Linked DNA regions of Coturnix japonica. The protein of the gene in region 2 interacts with the protein of the main gene of each other region in a pairwise test. Links are inferred from orthologs where the notes say so. Each region holds a gene or a part of one and is shown on either strand. Other genes may lie near its edges.

Region 1 (6,784 bases), on a different chromosome or scaffold from region 2:
ATCGATAAGAATTTAGCAAAAATTGAGGATTAAACAGATTTCATTGGTCATTTATAGCCTTTTCTGAGAACTTAATGCTCAGAATGTCAAACAACTCTCAGAACATTGCATATTGTCCATGCTTTGCAAAGCATCATGTCTATGCTTAAAAGCAGTACATATCGCTAAAAAGTGGACACATCTATGCAGACACATGACCAATTTTAAAAGAGATACATCAGATTATGATTATCTAATCAAAACTTCCTGTGTAACACAGCTACATAAACATACCAATAGTTTTATCAAATTCCTAATGCTTGTTTCAGACAGGTGTTTAACCTCTGGGTAAGTACAAGTGACAGGAAATCACCTAGGTATAATATTCCACTAATTGACCTGTCCTCAGTATGAAAATGTGCTGTATATGATTTTGTTCATGAATTTGCTTCAGCAATTTCATCTCTTTCTATGAGATTAAAACCCCTTAAGCTACCAATAAATTTTTCACTGTGCAGACATTCCTCACCTGTGTTTAGAATAAACAGAAAATATCACAATTATACATAAGACAAACACAATGAAACTAATATTTCATTTTAAATAAATCTTCATACGGAATCTAACTCACTTTCCCTTGTCCTTTAACCAGTCTGGATTCTTCTCCTCTTCTTTTAAATCTTCCAGCTCAGACAAATCAGCACTTATTGTCCTTCGAGCTTCTGCCTGTTTTTGTAGCCACTTTAAATAGACAATTTGCAAGTATTATTTCTGAAGGAAAAATTAAATCTTGTTCTTATTTGCTCATTCAGTCCTACCGAAATAATTCTATTTGCCTCCTATCTTGGACACAGTTAAATATTTAATAATTTAAGACAGGAACAATTTCCTATTTTCCCAAAATATTTTATTGCTACATGAGAAGTAAGGTTACTGCAGCATAATACCTATTAAATAAAGCTCAGGAGAGCTTTACTGTGAGTAGTAAGCTTTAGCGAGTTCTTTTTTAAGACAGAACTTAATGAGTATTAAATGTAAGAGCAAATAAATTTCAAACTTTGTTATTTGTGGAATTCAATATTGCAGATTTTTAATTAAAAATAAGAATGTTATTTATCTGCACAATGCACTGCAAAAAGTATGTAAATCTTTAGGTAAGACTGTATTCTTTTGGAAGATAAGAATAGTCCACAGGTGACGTTTTTGCCAACTTCCTGAATAAAGAGTAAATAGTTTGCCATCCTGGAAGACAAGAGAAGCACCACACAAACAGACCAATCCCTACCTCTTCCTCTTCTGCTACACGAGACTCTCGTAGAGCTGTAGGAAAAACTCGTGGTGTAAAGTTGATTTTAATTGTACCAGCAGATCGAGGAGCTGGTAACTGCTCTTCTTTTAAATTCTCTGAAAAGATACTATGGGAACCATGACCTACAAAAAGAATTAAAGTACCAGAATTGAAAAGTGAAGGAAAAGGGATTATCTTTCTGTTTCTCTTCCCAATTCCAAAATAAACCCAATCTAGAAATTCTGGTTATCAGAAATAAGCCTTCAGGAAAGTTGGGACTTATTCTATTGAGGGAAAGTTTCAAGCAGCATTTGTTCTTGCTGCTAAGCATGCAATCTATTACTGACACTACACTACCTGTCAGAAATGAATTATTTTAATGCACGCTTTCACTCACGTGACTCTCTAGTGGGGCAAGCATAAGACCTAAAACTAATCTTACCAAACAATACAAACAAAACCAAAAGGAACAAATTTTTTGTTGGCTTAGTTCCTTATTGGCTCTCTGAAGGACCAAGGCATGGGAGAGTGAAACGAGCATGCTTATCTCTATGAAAAATGGCAGTTAGACACTCCACTGGTAACATGAACTCCACCCTCAGAAAGTTTGCATTACACTGTTTGAAAGACTTTCTGTTCTATTTCACTAAAGCCTACAACAAAACTTAGCTGGTGTTTCCAAAGACTTAAATGAGAGCTAAGAACTCACTCACTTTAGCTCAATGAATTGCAAGAAAATAAAGACACAAAAGTAACTGCAAACTAAAAAAAAAAAGAGTTCAGTACAGTAGAGACAAAGATAAAAAATGAACCAGAAACATCTAGGAATAAAGTTATATCCACATTGTGCAGAATGTTAAAATATATCTCAATAACACAACCTCTTGTATCTTTGAGTTTGGTCTTAGAAATTCCTTCATTCGAAATTCCAGTTTTGTTTATTTTTTCCCTTTTCTTCTCCTTTAGTTGCTCTACTTCTTCATGCAGTTCCCCTTCATTTTGTACCCTCTTTTGTTTATCATCATCTTTTTGTTGACTTCTCCATAGCTCCAACTCCTTAGTGACTTTCTGTCTCTCCTCTTCTTTCAGACCTTCAATTCTTTTTCTTTCTGCTTCTTCTAGCTGTGTGAATGATAGAACTATGAGATACACAACACTCAATAATAAGATAACTGAGTAAAAGGTGTCATTGTTTTTGCCAGTTTCATACCCCAAGCACATCATCATCATTATCATCATCATCATCATCAAGAGCCCACAGGCAAAGTTATAAAAAATGCTTAAAAATGACTGTGACAGTAATTGTGATGATGAGCAGTAAACTGTGACTAGCTTTTAAAACTCACCACTGAAATAAACATGAGTACTTGGACATTTAACCAACCAGCTCCCAGGTTAGCCGGCAGACAGTTACATCCATGTCTTGGATATCGAGTTCCTTCTACATTTACCTTCATTGTAGCCTCCAAAGCATACTTCTTATGTTCCTGTTTTGTAACTTTTTTTGCTTCTGTCTCCTCTTTTGCCTTTTCTTGTGCTCTTAGAACAGCATTCTCTCTCAGGTGTTGCAGTTCCTCCTTGTTAACTTAAATAAACAAAAACTGTTCACTAATTCAGGTCTGAAATTCTACTGTGACTTACCACTTGCACAGAAACAAGATTCCTCTCTTTCACTTTGCCTTAGAAAATGCAACGCTTCCAGCTCCACGAAGGAGTTTTCATCAAGCCCATCTCCAAACACCAAAATCAAAGACTTGCGAACACACAGAGTTAGTTTCATAAGAAACATTATTTGTCTGTTCTGCTGTACTTTCTATTTTAACAATAAACAAGGTTTAATTTAGTAGACATGCAGCTGCAGGTTACACATTTTTAATTATGATTTGTAAAGTTAGAGCGCAGAATTCTTTTTTTCCCCCTAAATTGGCTTTTCTAGTAATTTCTCTACACAGAACCAGCATTTCAGCCCCAGCGGTCAGTCAACATGGAACTGGCAACACCACAAATATCACCTACAATTTCCTATGAATGAGTGAGAGGTGACCCAGAGAAAAACAAGAGGTATAATGTCCCCGTCTGACATCCACAATGTTCAGTGACAGATGACAATTCCTGCACTTTCTGAAGCCGTAAAGGTAACATTTATCTATATCAAATAACACAATTAGAAAAGCAGCAAAGCCACAGAAAAGAGTTTTCACACAGCTTGGGTTCTTTACACGCAATCTGCTTTTCCCAGCAGAGAACTTACCATCTGCTACAGTCAGGGACTCCCACATGGACGCTTCTTTTTTATACAAAGTGAAGAAGACGATTCCATTGCCGATCTTTGCTGTGCTATTTGTCTCATCAATCGGAGCATATAAAACAGCCTCAAATAAAAAGGGAGGGACGCTTACCTATAAAAACACAGTTAGCAAACACATACTAATAAATGAATTCTTATTTCATTCCTGGGTGTTCCAAGTACTCAACACTCAGGCAACAAGTGCTACTCAGCAAGCTGATTAGCTTAGCATGCCCTACTGAGGTTTTATAACAGCCGGACCAGATAAGAGACCCAAACAGTGTGTTCTTCAGCACCTGAATAGAAATAGCAGACCTCGAGTTTATCATTATAAGTCACAGTATAAGCAGAAGCTTACACAAAAGGCAAAGCAGGTGCTGGCATTATTAGTTGGACCGGTGACACGGCAGCCTAGGGAATAGGTACTATTATAGGGAAACATACTAGGGAATAGGTACTAACAGCTCGCTGCACGTAATGGGACAGCAGAGCCTAACGTTTGTAAGAGACCGCAAAATCAGCAGCGCTGAACGCGTGCTTTTCAACGGAGCAGCGCCGAGCCGCAGCCCTGCTGCCCTGCCGCCCACCTTCAGGTACCGCTCGGTGCAGAAGATGTTGGCGGCGGTGACCCGCAGGCCGCGCACGGGCAGCGAGAGGTACACGGCCGTGCCGCTCTGCCGCCAGCTGTGCTCCCGCAGCCACAGCGGCATGGCGCCGGGCGTTGCTAGGGAAGGCCGAGCGCTTCCGGGGTCCGTAACCCAACGGATCCCGGGCGGAGCGGAGCGCCGCAGGGTGGGAGTGAAGGGCCGCAGAACTCAGCGAGGGGGTCGGATCTCAGCCCGTTACTCACCGAGACACGGAGCTGGTCTGGATTCCGTCAGTCACACCCGAGCAGGGAACGATGGAACGCAGCTCACATTATCCAACTGCCGTTCCAAAAACCCACTGTTGGTACTTTGAGAACTTCTAGTAAAAACTATTACTAGCCGAGGGCTGATTGAAGCACTGAAGCTCCCGATGAACTCTAACGAGGGGCAGGCCATGTAGTGCCCCACACAGTGCTGACCCAGACAGGTAACAGGCTGCTGCCCAAACAGCAATGCCTGTGTCCAACCAAAGCACATAGAAAGCAACTAGTTCTGGGGAACGTCAGCTGAGGAGAAGCACCGGTGCATTTAAATCCCTGACATATGTAAAGTTACTTGGAACTACTTGGAAAAATCCAAAAGAACCAAAAAGGGAATGAGTGAGTGTGTGTGTGTGTGTGTGTGTGTGTACACATGTGCACACGTTCCTAATGTGACTGTATTCTGAAGGAGTGATCAGATGCCAGTGGTTCATACTATGAGCTCACTACTGCTCTCAGAACAACATAGATACTGCAGGGGTTTAGAAACCTTTTTCAGAGAAAGAAATCCATCATAATTGATGTGATCTCTGGGTTATTTTCCACCTTCATTCACCAAGATCAGTATCATCACGGTGAATGCTTGCATGAACGGGAATCTGAGATATGAATTAAGATCCTCATTCCAAGAGCATTCAAAAGTACAAGCAAAACAAGATCTGACTCCAAGACAACATGCTTTAGGTATTCTTACCACACATAACCCTGTCCAAAGATAACAAAGTCTTACATTTGCTGAGGGCCGGCTTTCTGCTTTTCTCATCCAGATGTCATTTTTACTTCAGTCACAGAGAATACACTGAAATGAAGCAGCTTGTTATTTATGCCTGCCAGAAATAACAAATTTATACACAATTTACAACACAGGCCACAGTTACACTTACCAGTATTTGATGTTCTCAAATTACACAAAATAGTTCCAGTACCTTACATTTATACCTGTTTACTTAAATACCAGATCTCCTATGCCAAGCTCCGTACTTCACTTGCAGAAGATATAATAAAAGAAGAAAAAAAGAAGAAGATATAATAAAAGTCACTAACACATTCCTAGGTGAAAGTAGCAGACTGAGGTGCTACAGCACACAAAAGGGACTCAGAAATCAATAGTCACAGGTCAATTCAGAATCTTCTGTTGGTAATAACTTACCAGACAAAAATGCAGAAACATCCCATGGAAAACTTAAATTCTTATTTCCTGTACTTTATAGGACAGAGGCTTGTAGTTCAGACAAATCTTAATATTACTCTGGATCCTCTAGCTGCCAATACATACATATCTTGCAGGGGTTTGCTTCCACCTAATGGCTTCAGAAGCTTTAAACTTTCCTTTTACGCATTCTTATCATAATTTAATAAATACCTTCTCCCTCCCCTCCCCCCCCCCACACCCCTCTTCTAAGTTCTCTCCCATTTCTCTCATCCCTTCACATTTTGAGAAGAGCAGGCACATTTTTTGAGATGCTTTTTATTCCATGAAGTGCTTTCAGTGTGTGGTTTGGGACCACCCATAGCACTGCTTATAAACATCACAGGTAAGGTATTCATTTCCTGCATGTTAGCGATGGCATTTCAGGAAAAAAAAAATAGTAATGGCTCAGTAAGAACTTTATTAATTAGAATAAATAATTATTTGCATAATCTCTTTCCCAAAGTGAAAAGCTCTGCAATTTCATACAGCCAAATGGTGCCTTCGCATTTCTTCCCATCTTTTAATAAATAGAAGGGATATGGTATAAGACCTTTACTAATCTGCTTTGAAGTTAGTTCAGATTAATGCCTCTACAGGACAGCAGCTCTCTCCAACAGAAACAGGAGCTGCCTTTTCCAAATGGATACAGTGGCTTGCAGGGTTACGCCCAATCCAAATGCATTCTCACAGGCAAAACATTCAGAGTTCACTTATGCATTACATCATCTTCATAAAATCGACACAAAATTACCCCCAAAAACAAACAAACTAAAACAAACCCCCACCTTCTTTATTTTAAAAGAAACTTAAACCAGACAACAGAAAGCAACAAAGTTGCATACAGTGCTGGACAAAAATCTATCATATACATTTTCCAAGAACACTTGATTCAGATTCTGATGTATGTTCTTCTAAAGGGGCAAATATTACATCTTTATTAACAGCAAAAGAAGTCAACAATCAGTTCATGTTTTGCACTGCTCAGATAGCCATGGATTGGTAACTTGCCATTTTCAACTCATCTTTAGCTCTAAAAAGAAGGGAGACACAAAAAAATTCCAAGTCAGAAAGCCCCTAAACAACACAATGTCTGCTCTAAGGGCCGTATATAAAAGCCTGGAGGAGAGAATG
Region 2 (6,784 bases):
CAAAAGTCCTCTCAATACTTAAAATAAGAAGTTCAATGAAAATCCATCTGGAAGTTCTAGAAGGCATTTAAAACACTTGTGACTTTCAGAAAACAGAAGTAACTTCTTAATCTTTTACTTCAAGTTTAGAGCCTCACCTCAGTCTTCTCCGTTAATTCACGCCGTATTTGATCCAACTGATTTTGAATTTCATTCTGAGACTCCAGTAAGTGTAAGCCATATTGTGCAGCCTTTCTTCGCTCGTTCTCTGCTTCTTTCAGTTGTTGTCTAAGATTTAGAATGGTCTCTGTCTCCATTTTTTTCTTCCTTTTATTGCCTCAATTTGGAAAGAAAAAATGGTTACAATCATAGCCAACCTGTGAAAGCAGTTCAACTGAGCAAAGTTACTGTATTTCCGTGCCTTATTATGGTACAGAGGTACAGGCTACATCAACACAAGACAAAACGTGGTTAGCTCTCTAACAAGTGATCCCACTAATAATAAAATGGTCACTTTGTCTTGTTGTGACTGCAGAGCAGGAATAGCATGTGGTGCAGCAACTCCTGCATACCCTGGGTCAGTTCCTGACATCGCAGGGACTTCAGCAGAATCAGAGATACCCAGCACAGAGCTATCTCAACAGAGAAGGCCAAAAACAATTATGCACGTGACTGATGTCTTCCACATTACCATAAATAAAACCATATGAACCATAACATTACTTGTGTACACAGTAACGCAAGTCTTAGAAAACTCATTGATTTCTATCTTCATCTCCAAACATACGACACAAAGGATGATTTTTCAGGAAGAAAAAAAATGATTCCAAGCAAAATACTAAAATAACGAAGTTCAACTCAAACTTGTACCAACTGCTTGCACGACTGCTGACTCTTAAGCCTACTAAATCCATGCAGTACAAAACAATCCCATTAGAGCAGAGATCTCTAAGTAACTTGAGCTCCTGAGCCATGTAAGCCAGTATTTTCTCAGAAAGCACACAGTAACAACAAATACAGCAACTACGGCTGATTTTGCAGAGCCAACGTTCCCAATTTTTACATCACTTAATAAAAATAATCAAAGTCACTCTTCAAGATTTTACTGTCCTTCATTCTTACTGGCTGACAGCCACAAGGACACTCTATGCACAAGATGCTGCTCTTAATGCACTGCAAATTTTACTGGTGAATACAGTTAAGATCATAGTTAAGCTTACAGTGTAACGTCTTCATTTTCCACAAGCTGTTGTGTACCAAAAATAATCCCACTCGACTTGCTCAGATTCCTTTATAAAGATATTACTTTAACAGACAGAAATCCACTGCACCAGAACCCTGTGAGTTCCTTTCACAGGGACAAGATGGAAATCAGAGAGCATTCATTTTCCCTCATTTCTTCTTTCTGTTAAACTTGGAAACTAATTTTTCATGTCTACTTACTGCAGTACTTGAATTAGCAGTTCTACACCCCTAACCCGAAATAAATCTTAAAAGATATAGATTTGCCAGATATGTATATTTAAGAAGAACCTATAACACGACAGCATTCTATAGAATACTACAAGAACTACAGGGACACATACATTGCATAGAATTTAATCTTTACACAATTCTTGTTAAAGACAAGAAGGCAGCATAAGTAAAACTAGACAAAACTCCTTGCAGGTATTTGCACCAAAGGGCATTAATTAATTCTTACTTAATAAACAGAAATTAAAAATAATAAAGAAACTTATTTGCTCCAACAGAAACATGTGACGATTACAGGTAAAATAATTTAACTGCTCCTGGATTGCATTAAATTTCAGTAATATTTTTAACTCACCTTCAGAAGTTCATTCAAGTGTCACTTAACATTTATGCCCTGGAAAAAAAAACAACAACAAACACAGCTGTGCAGTGCATATAAAGCACAAATGGCTGTTACCTCCACAGCAATCCTTGTCTTATGAGCTCTATGACTGTGGCTGCCTTGTGGAAATGAGATCAGCTCCTAAAACCCCACAGAAAGGCCGATCTCACTGTACCCTCTGTTAAGGCAGCTGTCAGACAGCACAGGAGCAGCTACATCAGGCACTGCTGCCAAAGGAAAGACACACTGCAATCGTTCCCAAGTTGGAAGCAGGGCTGCTCCCAGGGCCGCCTCCTCCCAGCACCAACGGCATTTTAAAGTTTAATTTAACTTGTGAATTTGCCTCGAAACCATCCAGTTATTCTTCAGTCTCTCTGCTATTTCCCACAGTTTCAAAGACAAGATCTTATGGCTGTCAATAGATTAGATACTGGATAACACCAGCAGGACGTTATGAAATTAAACAACCTAACAGAAGCTTAAAAAACAATTAAAATCGGTTCCCTATTCACAAACTTCTTCAGCAGAATAATGTCTTCAGGATAACGGGGAACACCAGCTTTTTACCGTCTATTTTGGATGCACTCAATCAGACCAGGAATCACAGAATCACAGAATTGTAGGGGTTGGAAGGGACCTCTAGAGATCATCAAGTCCAACCCCCCTGCCAAAGCAGGCTCCCTACACCATGTCACACAGGTCGGCGTCCAGGCAGGTCTTAAATATCTCCAGAGAAGGAGACTCCACCACCTCCCTGGGCAGCCTGTTCCAGTGCTCCGTCACCCTCACTGTAAAGAAGTTCTTCTGCACATTCATATGGAGCTTCCTATGCTGTACTTTCATCCCATTACCCCTAGTCCTATCCCCACGCACTACTGAAGAGACCAGCCTCACCACTATGGCTCCCACACCTCAGGTATTTATAAACCTGGATCAAGTCCCCTCTCAGCCTTCTTTTCTCAAGGCTAAACAGACCCAGTTCCCTAAGTCTCTCCTCATAGGGGAGATGCCCCAGGCCCTTCACCATCTTAGTAACCCTCTGCTGGACTCTTTCCAAGAGATCCCTGTCTTTTTTATACTGGGGAGCCCAGAACTGGACACAATATTCCAGATGAGGCCTCACACCAGGGCAGAGTAGAGGGGGAGGATCACCTCCTTTGACCTGCTGGACACCCTCTTTTTAATACACCCCAGTATGCCATTGGCTTTTTTGGCTACAAGGGCACACTGCTGGCTCAGGAAGTGCTGGTGTAGGGAATAGATTGTTTCTCCAAGTTCTCCATGAGGTTTAATTAAAGTGTTCAGGCGTTAACAGCACAGCAGCGCTCAGCAGCCCCGCGGCGGCTGAAGAACCAAGAGCCGCTGCCACAAAGGCGGCATCACGGCCTGGAGGCCGCGGGGCTCCGCGGCAGAGCGAGGAGAGTAAACAAGTGTTGCTAAACGCCCCCCAGGAGCCCCCTCAGTCCTACCGCTCACAAAGACCCTCCTCCAGAAGGAAAATAACAGGAAAGCAGCAAAACTCTCACATAAAACCCAGCCCCGCCGGTTACCTCAGCGCTCAGCCCGCCCCGCCGCCATCATTCAAACTCGGCTCCACCGCCCCGCCTCGAGTATCGCGAGAGCCGCCCTCAGCTGCCCCGCTGTGGCGACCGTTAGTGGAGCGGGGGTGGGAGCGCGGCTGTGAGGGAGCGCGAGGGGTGTGTGTGTGTGTGGACGGGAGGCTGTGAGAAGAGAAATGAACAGTTTAGTTTGAGTTTACCCGGCTGTTCGTGGCTGGAGTGTCGTATCGCTGTATCCTGGTGGTATCTTGTTTCAGCTCCGAGGTCTCACGCTGCAGTGCTTCGTTCAAAGAGCACAGAGTAAGTGGTGAGGTACAGAAAGTGAGGAGTGCTGCAAAGCAGAGGGGCCATCTGCTGTACCCCGATGTATTTTAGGGGGAAGTTTTGGTCTTGACAGTAGAGCACGTTAAGTGTCTCCTTTGTGCCTTTCCCATTCCTCAGCAGGGACTGTTGTCCCCAAGGAAACCTTAATGATGATCCAAACTGTGCTCTCACCTCTGTGGAACTTACCCTCAAATTCCTTATTAATCTGAGAAACAAATTCCAGAGCTTACAGCACAGGGATTAACTACACTTGCTTCTGTTTGCTCCATTCTCCACAGCATGTAGTGGGCTCTGCTCATCATCCTTTCCTGGGATGCCAGGCAGGAATTTGATAGCAGTAGGTTGCCCAGAATTCAGAGCTGTGAACCACCACAAAAGAGCAAAACTCATCAGCTGGACCGTTTCATTGTGCATTTATATTGGTCAAATCCAAGCAGCTACAGTAAAACATGGGCATTGCTGCCATTTCCTTTGCTCTAATAGGAAGCCTGGGGAATGTTAATCTTTAAAGCAGTGGTTAAATGTTTAATTTATGTATGTTTGCACCCTCTCTAATAACATCAATGAGAATGGAAGATTTGTTCTCATATCTAACATAGCATGTACAAGAACAGCCACTGAATAGGAACACACCAAAGCAAATTCTGCCTCTAGGGAGCTCTACCTCGTGTAATGCAAAGCTAAATACAAGCAACAGGCTGTAAGTTAGTGCACGGGTAACAATCCTATTTGCAGTAACCGAGACAAAAATAGATGTCTTATGATAACTGGGGCTTGGAAAATAAGCATATGGTACAGAACTCTATGGAGGCAGTAAAAATGGAATGGTCAGAACCATATATCACTACATATACTTTTTAATCAAAGTGTGTGGGTCTAGCTTATGTCAACAGAAAATTGATTAAGAGTTAAATGCAGAATGGTCTAGACAGGCAAGAATGCCAAGTTGATTAAAGCAGGGTCAGGAAGCAGGAGAATCCTCTGTTCTAATTTTGATTCTGCTGCACTGGTTGTGTGATTAGCTGCTCCAGATACATGCAGCTCACCCCCTTGTTTTACAAGAAGGATAACAGTGACTGAATTAACAAATCCATACAATTCCCCTGGCAATTATTTGAGTACAGCTTTGAAAAATGCAAACTGCATGGTAAATAAATATCAACGTGATTACTCCATCAGATCAGTTATCCAACATGATGTGCTAAAATCACCAAACAATTGAAACAGATGCTGTGTTTCAGTGCCACAGTCACGTTACACAGCTGATATTTAAAACAGACATGGAGCCTCAATGAAAAAAAGTATCTCAAATATTGAGTTATTATCAGAACTTTTCCACATTGAATTAGCACCCACTAGGATACTGCTTGACAAATCACATCCATTGGTTGTGGATATAAAACACTTGCACCAGTTAGTAGCTAATAAGCTTCTAGTAATACAGATTTGTCAAATAGCACACAATTTTTGTCATAATACTGTAAGATTTTTCACCAGTGTTATAAAAGATTTAATAGCTGCATAATAACAGTATGTAGAGCTCGGCTACATACAAAGATTTCTTAAAATGTAGGAGTACTTGCTTGTAGGAAGCTAGATTTTACTTGTAAGTGGTTGTAGAAAAGTATAGAAAGACAAGGTCACCAAATGTATCTTTTGTAGTGCATATAGTTTGATGGAGACAAATACTTTTGCCCCTCTTAGCTATGAGTTTAAACCATACACTACTGACTGTATAAAGTGGAAATGGACATCCTCTGTGTCTTATCTATGGAAGCAGGTAAGTATTCTGCGTTAAATAATGAAGTAATTGCAAAAATTGTTTATTCTGAAGAGGAGGCTTTATACCTTTATAAGAAAAGATCAGGTTAAATATGCCTTAATCTTTACCTATTGCTTTGTGAATCTCAACAGTATAACATGAGCTGACAACTATTTTGCTTCTATGCTTAAGAACCTGAATGCTATAGGAAGCAAGTAAGTAATAGCAGCCTACTGAGAATCTGATTAGAAGCTGCTTAAGTCATTTGGGGTAAACACATGCAGGGTTAAGCAACTTAAGCCTGAGGATTGCTTTTTTGTCTGTTGACATATTCCCACTCCTCATTTCAGAACCCTAAATTCTGTACAATCCAAAGACATGTTACACTTGCTAGTGCAACATCTAAAAGAGGAATTTAAATCCCTTCCATGTTTTTAAGTTGATATCTATTACTAAAGTGTTCTCCCTTAGTTATCTGTTTATTTGAGATGAGGCACTTTCACCTTTACGTACATAGAATTCAGTCTCTGGCTAATTACTCTGAATTCCAAGTGCAGTGGTACTTCAGTTCTGTTGCAAAGAAATCACGTAGTTCAGTAATTACAGCAACAGATTGAGGGCCAGTAACGTGCTGTTTCTAATCCACTCTAAGCAATTAGTGGCTGACCTCATCCAGATCTCTTCATCTCGCTGTTTCGGACACGTTAGCTAAACAAAGACATCTTTTGCAGGTTTCTTGCTGATTTAATGGTAACTTGCCTTCAGAGGCTTTGCATGATTGCTTGGGGAACATAAACAGATCATCTATCAAGAGAGTCTGTTTTAAAATAGAAGACACTTCTGTATAAAAGCTGGTATTTTCCATTACTTTTATTCTGAGCTGTCACATTTTATACTATTTATTCAGTGGTCTGGGAGACTTAGAATGAAATTCCTAAGTACATGTAATTAGGAAGGGGTCCGGTTATGGAAGTGTACAGACTCTAATGGAGAGAGGTGAAGTAGTTCAGAACAGAGATGTGGTGAAAGTTACACGATAAGTAGACTAGCACCTTGTATGCCATGCTTGCCTTTTCTTGCTTTTCATCCTTACTTTTAAATTTCAACTCAATTTGCATGTTTCTTCTAAACACCTCTATGATGTCTGGAAGGCTTATCATGGTCATGAGGAGCTACAAGATCTGGCTTGGTGGCTTAGTGGACAATTGGACTTGTAGGTCCTTTCCAACCTCATGATTCTATGATTCCAAACATCTATGATTAAAACAACAATTATAAAATAGTGAAGGACAAAATTGCCAACTG

The links.
Region 1: the proteins of SPDL1 (region 2) and DNAAF4 interact in binary tests that used the Homo sapiens proteins (3 or more experiments, as listed by UniProt). The two-hybrid records come from large-scale screens. The link is inferred for Coturnix japonica from reciprocal best matches to the Homo sapiens genes SPDL1 and DNAAF4.

Annotation. Positions count from the first base shown.
Region 1 is NC_029525.1:6,876,733-6,883,516, reverse strand, and holds the start of DNAAF4 (dynein assembly factor 4, axonemal), read right to left. Parts: upstream 4,360-6,784; 5' UTR 4,265-4,359; coding exon 4,142-4,264; intron 3,667-4,141; coding exon 3,519-3,666; intron 2,853-3,518; coding exon 2,719-2,852; intron 2,390-2,718; coding exon 2,149-2,389; intron 1,411-2,148; coding exon 1,265-1,410; intron 721-1,264; coding exon 611-720; intron 1-610.
Region 2 is NC_029528.1:6,762,245-6,769,028, forward strand, and holds the start of SPDL1 (protein Spindly), read right to left. Parts: upstream 3,477-6,784; 5' UTR 3,385-3,476; intron 1,847-3,384; 5' UTR 1,808-1,846; intron 317-1,807; 5' UTR 297-316; coding exon 138-296; intron 1-137. UniProt on the Homo sapiens protein: Required for the localization of dynein and dynactin to the mitotic kintochore.